Callithrix jacchus: one gene and its partner. The protein of the gene in region 1 interacts with the protein of each later gene in a biochemical or structural test. Links are inferred from orthologs where the notes say so. Each region holds a gene or a part of one and is shown in the gene's direction. Other genes may lie near its edges.

Region 1 (4,415 bases):
CCAAACTGCAGGGATTACAGGCATGAGCCACTGCACCTGGCCAGCCCCTCACTTTAGCAACTGTCTGGAGCAGGCCCCTATGGCCTCACTAGCCTGTAGGAACCCTGATGGAAGGCATGAGGGCTGGGCATACCTCATGGTCCCAGAGCCAGGAGACCTGGAAAGCTTTGGTCTTCAGGCCACCGAGGGGACTTCCAGCCCTCACCCATTCGTCCACCATCTGTATACTAACAGTTTCAGGCCACATTTACTGAACTCATGCTCTGCTTCATTGGAACACATCACTCCTCTTCTTTGATTGCCTCCCACCTTCTTTTTATTTTATTTTTTTGAGCAGAGTCTCGCTCTGTCATGCAGGCTGGAGTGCAGTGGCTCAATCTCAGCTCACTGCAACCTTTGCCTCCCTGGTTCAGGGATTCTTTTGCTTCAGCCTCCCGAGTAGCTGGGACCACAGAGGCCTACCACCATGCCCGGCTAATTTTTTTGTATTTTTAGTGGAGATGGGGTTGCACCAAGTTGGTCAGGATGGTCTCGATCTCTGAGACCCACCTTGGCCTCCCAAAGTGCTGGGATTACAGGTAAGAGCCACTGCACCTGGCCCTATTGATTGATTGATTGATTGAGACAGGGTCTCACTCTGTCGCCCAGGTTGGAGTGCAGTGGTGCGATCTCAGCTCACTGCAACCTCTACCTCCCACCCCAGCCTTCTGAGTAGCTACAGGGGTGTGCCACCATGCCAGCTTAATCACCTTTAGAATAAAATCCAAGCTCCTCACCAGGCCTATAGGTCCTTTTTGGTGGTCCAGCCCACCTCTCCCTCCATCCAGCCTCCCCTCTAACCATGCATGGCATGCTGGCCAAGATGGCCTCTCTTTTGTTGTTATTTTGAGATGGAATTTTTGCTCTTGTTGCCCAGGCTGGAGTGCAATGGTGGGTCTCGGCCGAGTCTTGTCTATTAACTGACAGTCTTGATCACAGCTTGTTAAGTAGGAACTATCATGAGCTTCCTTTCACGGGAAAGGTAAGAGGAGCTCAGAGAGGTTAGGCCATTTGTTGAAAGTCACACAGCTAAGATTAAAACCCCAGAGACAGGCTTTTTCACTACCTGTCACTGGGTGTAGGGGCAAGGTAGAGGTAGCACACCCCAGGCCAGCTCCCGGGTGCTTGAAATATTAATAGATGCTTCTTCTTCTTCTTTTGTTTTTTTGAGAACAAGAGAGTCTCACTCCGTTGCCCAGGCTGGAGTGCAGTGGCGTGATCTCGGCTCACCGCAACCTCTGCCTTCCAGGTTCAAGCCATTCTCCTGCCTCAGCCTCCCGAGTAGCTGGGATTACAGGCATCTGCCACCATGCCTGGCTAATTTTTTGTATTTTTAGTAGAGACAGGGTTTCACCATGTTGGTCAGGGTGGTCTCAAATTCCTGACCTCCTGATCTGCCCACCTCAGCCTCCCAAATTGCTGGGATTACAGGCGTAAGCCACTGCGCCCTGCCAACTTTTGTATTTTTAGTAGAGATGGGGTTTCACCATTCTGGCCAGGCTCGTCTCAAACTCCTGACCTCAGGTGATCCACCCACCTCTGCCTCCCAAAGTGCTGGGTGGTGTAAGCCACCGCGACCTGCCTAATAGATGCTTCTGGAGTAGGAGGCCTTGCGCCTGGCTGGAAGGTTGGCAAGATTTGAGTCTGCAGAGGCCTGAAGAGAACATCCCAGGTGGGAGAAACTGCAAGGAGGGGTGGGTGGAGGAGGCAGGGACACCCTGTTCATGCGACTACTGTCTGCAGAGGGTCTCCAGAGGCAGGACCCCCAGGGGTAGGGACGCTGATTCAGGAGTCGCTCTGCAGTCCTTCCCCCAACGCTGTAAGCCGAGGTGCCCCCAGGGACGCAAGCTGGGCGCTCCCACGCCCGGCTGAAGCAGGACGTTCCCACGCGGGGGCGGCTCTGGGAAAGGCTGTGGGGCGGGCCGGGGGCGGGCGCCCGCGCTCAGGTCCCTCCGGAGCGGGTTCTCCGTCGCTCGCTGGGCAGACCCAGGTCGCATTACTGCTGCGGAGCCGGCGAGGTGAGTGAGCTGGGGGTGGACCCCGTTACCCAAGCCTGCGCGGGTTGGAGTCGTGGCTCGGTCTCCTGCCCTCGCCGCGGGGTCATGCCCCGAGTGGTCTCTGTCATAGGAGGGCTTCTTGCAGGTGGGAGCTGAGGACTCCTTGGGAGTTATCCTCTGCTTATGAGTGCCACCTCTTTCCCCAAATACAGATTACACCCTCCCTCTCTCGCTATGTGGGGCTCTCCCACCCACTCATCATAATCACTGGCCAGAGCCCCTCCTTCCCAGAAGTGCGGACTGCCTCCTCCCACTTATCACCTGTGGTGTGCCCCCTCCCCCACTCTGTTTATTGAGTGCCCCTCTCTCTCCCTAGATGTGGGACCCCCTTCTCCCCAGGTGTGTGTTTCCCTCCCTCTGACCCAGTTAAGTCCCCGTCCTCTAAAGCCCCTCCCCACCTACATGGTTGCCAAACCCCGAGTCTTCCCTGGGGCTGGGGCACTGGGTTGAGCCAGTCTGGCTGAGCTCAGCCCCCCGCGCCCCCCTCCAACCAACAGATCCAGCAGAGCAGGCTCTATGTGCACGTAGGCACCCAATTAGGGGGGAAGGGGTGGGGCGTCTATCTGTCCTGCTGGTGCTAGAGCCTCTGCAGATGGCCCTGCGGGGAAGAGAGCCTCAGGACCTGCTCCCTCTCCACCTGGCCCCCCACCCAGTTTCGTCTGGGAAGCAAATAACTCAGGGGGATTCTCCAATCTGGCCAGACTGAGCTGGGGCTGGCACCAGAACCCAAGCCCTCAGCCTCACATGCCTGAGACCCTGCCCCAAGAGTTAGGCCTCCTCCCACTTCTCAGATGGTGAATTGAGGTCCCAAGAAGGGGTTCCAAAGGTCTAGGACCCACATTGACCACCCCATCCCCAGGGCTATCAGACAGAATGAGAAGGGTCAAGGGCATGAGGGTAACCTTGAAACCCTGGGACCCCTGCCACTACCATACCAGTGGAAAGGGTTTCTCCATCTGGCCCTGCGGTGTGGGGGCCAAGGGTAATATGGGGACAGAGCTCATCTATACCTCCGTGCCCCCAGATGCTCTCCAGAGCTGCTTGGAGCTTGATGCTGAGGAAAGGTGGACGTGGAAGACGAGAGATGCACAGCCCAGAAGCCCCGGGTGAGACCTGGACTCCTGCCTCTCAGCCTAACTCCAGAGCTAGGGGCAGGGCTCCCCTCTGCAGGCTGTCCCCTTTGCCCTTCCATGCCACCCTGGGCCTGTCCCTACCACACTTCCCATGATCCCATTCCTTGGTCCAAGGCCAAATTTCTCCAGGAAATGGAGCCCACGGGTAAGCCGACAGTGCCCGTCTCCATGCCAAGCTTCCTTAGGAGCCAGCCCCTGACTCAGGCCCCTAGGCCTTGTGCCCTGAGGTGAAGGATGCCAACCCTGGCTCCTCCTACCCAGACCCTAGCTTCAATGCTAGTCAGAAGAAACAGACCTGAAGCAGGAGAGACTTCAGCCAGAGAGCAGAAGGGCCTTGCTGACTGGTGGAGAATAAAAAAGATAATTTTGTCACTGAGCCCTTACTAGTACCCCGAGCTATGCTAAACATTTTATGTGGATTAACGTATGGACTTCACAACGATCATGTGAGGTGGACGTGGTGTTATCTCCCTTTCGTGGATGAAGAAACTCAGGCCCAAAGATCTGAATATTAGAAGAGGCAGGATTCCTTGCCCTAGGCAGCTCCAACACTCTCCCATTAAGGGGGTACCAGTGCCCTCCTTGTGGGCACCTCTGCTGTGAAGAGAAGCTTTGTTGAGACCGAGCCTAATGTCCAGCCATATTCTGGGCACCCATAGGGAGCGTTTGAGGGCAGAGCCGTCATGGAGAGCTTCCAGAAGTGGAGACCAGTAGTAAAACCAACCTCCATTAAACAGAATGATTTACTGAGCATCTGCTGTGTGCCAGGCACCGAAGGAAGCCTTTTTGTTTGTTTGTTTGTTTTGAGACAGGGTCTCTCTTGGTCATCCAGGCTGGAGTGTGCAGGTGCAATCTCGGCTCACTGCAACCTCGGCCTCCTGGGTTCAAGTGATTTTTCTGCCTCAGCCTCTCAAGTAGCTGGGACTATAGGAGCATGCCACCATGCCTGGCTAATATTTTTGTATTTTTTTAGTAGAGAGAGGGTTTCGCCATGTTAGCCAGGATGGTCTCTATCTCCTGACCTCATGATCTGCCAGCCTCGGCCTCCCAAAGTGCTGAGATTACAGGTGTGGGTCACCGCACTCGGCCTCAGGAAGCCTTTTAAGTGTATTCTTTTTTTTTTTTTTTTTTTTAAGACGGAGTTTTGCTCTTGTTACCCAGGCTGGAGTGCAATGGCCCAATCTCG
Region 2 (4,394 bases), on another chromosome or scaffold:
GGGTTCAAGCGATTCTCCCGTCTCAGCCTCAGCCTCGTGAATAGCTGGGATTACAGGTGCGTGCCACCATGCCCGGCTAATTGTTGTATTTTTAGTAGAAACGAGGTTTCGTCATATTGCCAGGCTGGTCTCAAACTCCTGATCTCAGGTGATTAGCCCGCCTCGGCCTCCCAGAGTCCTGGGATTACAGGTGTGAATCACCTTGTCCGGCCAATGAATACGACTGAATACGGCAGTGTCAGATAGAATACAAGGCGAGGGAGTGGAGGGGAGAGAATACAAGAAAGGATGAAAATTAATCAGAACATGGGGCTAGAATTTGAGGAGTAAAGGTGTCAAAAAAAAAAAAAAAAAAAAAAACCAGTGACAGAACTGAGCATGTCAGGAAGGGGATCTAGTTTTAAATTATAATAACTAAAAGCTGTGGTATTAACGCCTTTATTTCTAATAAGACCTCATGCATAAGCTTACTTGAACATGACATTTACCTAGGTCAGAAGGGATGCAAATCCTCTAGATTTCCAAGAATTCTCTAATCATCTAAACATGTTTCTTCTTAGATGGTGCCAACACACCTTCCATGTTCTTTCTGCACACGAACGTGAGGGGGAGGAGGGCGCTGGCAGAAAAGTTGCCGACAGGTAAGGGGCCAGAGATATAATTGTCTCTACCGCAAATGCAGCACCTTCCCCATTCTTGGGGCGTCCAACAAGCGGAGAGCTAGAAGATGACTGAAAGTAACACAGTAGAGGTGGAACTAGAACAAGGTCACGAGCAAGTGCCCAACTCGTCTAACTCCTGGTTCCAGGCTGTGCCTCTGGGATGCTGTTGGCGCCAGCAGTGTTAGTATGACAGAGCCTGGGTAAAGGTCGTCTGCTGACGAGACGGTAGCTAGGAGACCTCTAGGTGAGCCAGAATTAGGGCGTCTTCTCCTGGACGTGCGGAACGCCCTGCCCAAACAAAGCTCATTACATCACCAGGCCTGTTACTTTAGCAGGGTAACGCGCCAAACCACCACCGACTCCGCCCCACCCTCCCCGCCCCTCTAGTATACGCAAGCGCACAAAGACCTGCGAGTGACGTCACCCCTCCCGGCACCACCGCGACGTCGTTTGACCAAAGGCCTGTCGTAACGGCCCGGCAAGAGAGGCCTGGAGAGGAAGGGCACGCACGCCGCACAGCCTACCCTGCTCGCTGGTATGCGCGCGCAGATCCTTGGCGCAAGCATTGGCACTGGAGCCAATGAAGCGCGGCAACGTCACTGCGTAGCCGCAAGCTCGGCTGTACGTCAGGGCGCGGGAGGGCGGAGCGAGTTTGGTTGCACTTACACTGGTACTTAGGCGCGGACCGGCGTGTCCTTGGACTTAGAGAGTGGGACGTCCGGCTTCTGAGTGGTAGTCTTTGTTGCGCTAACCACGAAAAAGGTGAGAGCGGGTCGCGGAAGCCGCATCTGGTTAGAAGCAGAGCTGTGGGGGGCACGTATTCGCGAGGATACGCGGGGAGCCTTCGAGGGGAGCCCGCGCGGGGTGGGAAGGCCGGACGTGAGGACCCTAGACTATGGTCAAACGAGAGCCAGGCGATCAACCGCTTGAGGTAGGGCGGAAGCCCAACTAAGGTCTCGGTCAGTTACTGGAGACGGCAAGACGCGTCCTCTTCCGTCGTGGTTGTTGAAGGGCTATGGAAACGATAGGCCAGACTTCCCTCCCTTAAAACCGAAGCGTAGCGTTTCATTTTCTGCTTCAGAGGGCAAAAGCTGTTGCTCCTCTAATAAGGGGTTGTTCTTTTCGTGGGCACATGTTTGTTCTTTCAATCGTTGCGGCGTCCTAGAAACGTGGGTTTCATCAGTCACCTTGAAACCGACCTGGATGGGTGACCTCGTGGTCACCTCGGGGGGATCACCGGTAAGAGAGTTGGGGATTTCTTGGGGACACCGTGCAGCCTACTCCTGCGCTCCAATTCACGCAGGAGTAGTGTCAAGCTACTCTTGTGCCCTGGGCAGGTAGAAACAATCAGAACCGTTTATTTTATTTTTAATTTATTTTTGAAGACGGAGTCTCGCTCCGTCACCCAGGCTGAAGTGCAGTAGCACGATCTCGGCTCACTGCAACTTCCGCCTCCCGGGTTCAAGCAATTCTCCTGCTTCGCCCTCCCTAGTACCTGGGACTACCGGTTTCCACCACCACGCCCGGCTTTTTTTTTTTTTTTTTTTTTTTCTTTCTTATGGAGTTTCGCTCTTCTTACCCAGCCTAGAGTGCAATGGCGCGATCTCGGCTCACTGCAACCTCCGCCTCCTGGGTTCAGGCAATTCTCCTGCCTCAGCCTTCCGAGTAGCTGGGACTACAGGCGCGCGCCACCATGCCCAGCTAAGTTTTTTGTATTTTTAGTAGAGACGGGGTTTCACCTTGTTGACCAGGATGGTCTCAATCTCTTGGCCTCCCAGAGTGCTGGGATTATAGGCATGAGCCACCGCGCCCGGCTTTTTTTTTTTTTTGTATTTTAGTAGAGACAGAATTTCACCATGTTAGCCAGGGTGGTTTCGTTCTCCTGACCTGGTGATGACAACCCACCCCTCCAAGCCTCCCAAAGTGCTGGGATTATAGGCGTGAGCCACCGCGCCGGGACCCAGGACCGATTTTTAAACATTTGTGCTTTGCATTATCCTCAGGGAGAGGTGGCTTTACATTGTAGTACGATTAAATGATTAGACCTTCTTAAAAGTTGCAGTTGTGGTGATTTTCACTTAATGTTCGCTGTTCTGCTTCGTATCTGTGACTGTTTGTGATCATGACCTTATCTTCTGAAACTGAAGTTTGAATTACGTTCCCATTTGCTTGCTTGGGTTTTAACCTTCCTTCACGTATACACACAAAAACAGGTTTTTAAGGAGGTGCTCCTAAAAAATGTTTTTGGTATGAAAGAGTATTGGGTATAAAAAGTATTAAAGCAAAAGAAGATTCATCTTAGTATTTAATGACATAAATTATCAATGGATTGGTAATTAAGTGACTAGAGTGGTCATTAGTTTACACTGTATTTGTTACCTGAAGAAAAATTATTGTTGGGTCTTTCGTTTTTAGAATTCAATATGGGTGATGTTGAGAAAGGCAAGAGGATTTTTATTCAGAAGTGTTCCCAATGTCACACGGTGGAAAAGGGAGGCAAGCACAAGACTGGGCCTAATCTCCATGGTATCTTTGGGCGGAAGACAGGTCAGGCCTCTGGATTCACTTACACTGAAGCCAATAAAAACAAAGGTAAGAGGAGAACACTTGTTAAATAAAACAGCACAAAACGCATGAACGTAACCTGTGGCAAACTCCGGAGTGTGAAATACTTAATGGATGCATTCTTTATCATTTAGGCATCATCTGGGGAGAGGATACACTGATGGAATATTTGGAGAATCCCAAGAAGTATATCCCTGGAACAAAAATGATCTTTGTCGGCATTAAGAAGAAGGGAGAAAGGGAAGACTTAATAGCTTATCTCAAAAAAGCTACTAATGAGTAATAATTGGCCACTGCCTTATTTATTACAAAACAAATGTCTCATGACTTTTTTATGTGTACCGTACTTTAATAGATCTCATACACCAGAATTTACATCATGAATGACTGACAGAATATTTTGTTGGGCAGTCCTGATTTAAGACTAAGACTGGCTTGTGGTTAAATGAATATGTTCAGTTTTTGGATTTTAATAGTAATTCCAATTTAGTAAATTCTGTCACACCCACCCCTTCTAAAGATATGATTAGACTTCATTAGTAATGTTAAAACTTTTCGCAAAGATGGTGAGTGCCATCTTAAAACTTACTGGAGATTGGTTTTATATTTAGATTTATATGACTGGTTATGTGAATATATTTAAATATGGGGGCAATTCCTTCACAGTCTCAGAACCAAGCAAGATTCACCTGTGTTTTGTGTTCGTTTGCCTCTTAAAGGCAAGGTTGAAGATAAACGGGTAGCAATGGCTATTTTATATTTTTGGCCTTAACTATGCCAATCTAATTAGAGTACCCTGTATTTAAAATGGTTCCTTTTACTTACTGAAAGGCATTTTGTGTGGTTTATGTGTAATATAAAAAATTATTTAACACTTCACACATTTTATAGATGATCTATAAGGTCACATGCTTTTAAAATAGTAGCCAATTAAACTTCACTCTTGGATTCTTTACAATCTAAGTCAAACTAAGTTATAATTTAGGATTGTCTTTAAAAACAGCCATTCAGAAACAAAACTGTATAACTGCTGTGTATTTGTGATTGGGAATGGTGCTTTTGCCAACCTCTAAAGGATTAAAGTAGAAGAGATATACACAAATTTAAAAATGATGTGTGATTATAAGACTTAAGATAATTAAAAAGAAAACCACAGATCATGATTTT

Evidence for each region.
Region 2: the proteins of COX4I2 (region 1) and CYCS form a complex in vitro, tested with the Homo sapiens proteins (4 studies listed by BioGRID). The link is inferred for Callithrix jacchus from reciprocal best matches to the Homo sapiens genes COX4I2 and CYCS.

Annotation. Positions count from the first base shown.
Region 1 is NC_133506.1:7,562,572-7,566,986, reverse strand, and holds the start of COX4I2 (cytochrome c oxidase subunit 4 isoform 2, mitochondrial), read left to right. Parts: upstream 1-1,614; 5' UTR 1,615-1,711; intron 1,712-1,998; exon of another isoform or gene 1,999-2,057; intron 2,058-3,120; coding exon 3,121-3,202; intron 3,203-4,415. UniProt on the Homo sapiens protein: Component of the cytochrome c oxidase, the last enzyme in the mitochondrial electron transport chain which drives oxidative phosphorylation.
Region 2 is NC_133512.1:32,935,935-32,940,328, forward strand, and holds CYCS (cytochrome c), read left to right. Parts: upstream 1-1,366; 5' UTR 1,367-1,424; intron 1,425-3,077; 5' UTR 3,078-3,085; coding exon 3,086-3,254; intron 3,255-3,361; coding exon 3,362-3,510; 3' UTR 3,511-4,390; downstream 4,391-4,394. UniProt on the Homo sapiens protein: Electron carrier protein. The oxidized form of the cytochrome c heme group can accept an electron from the heme group of the cytochrome c1 subunit of cytochrome reductase.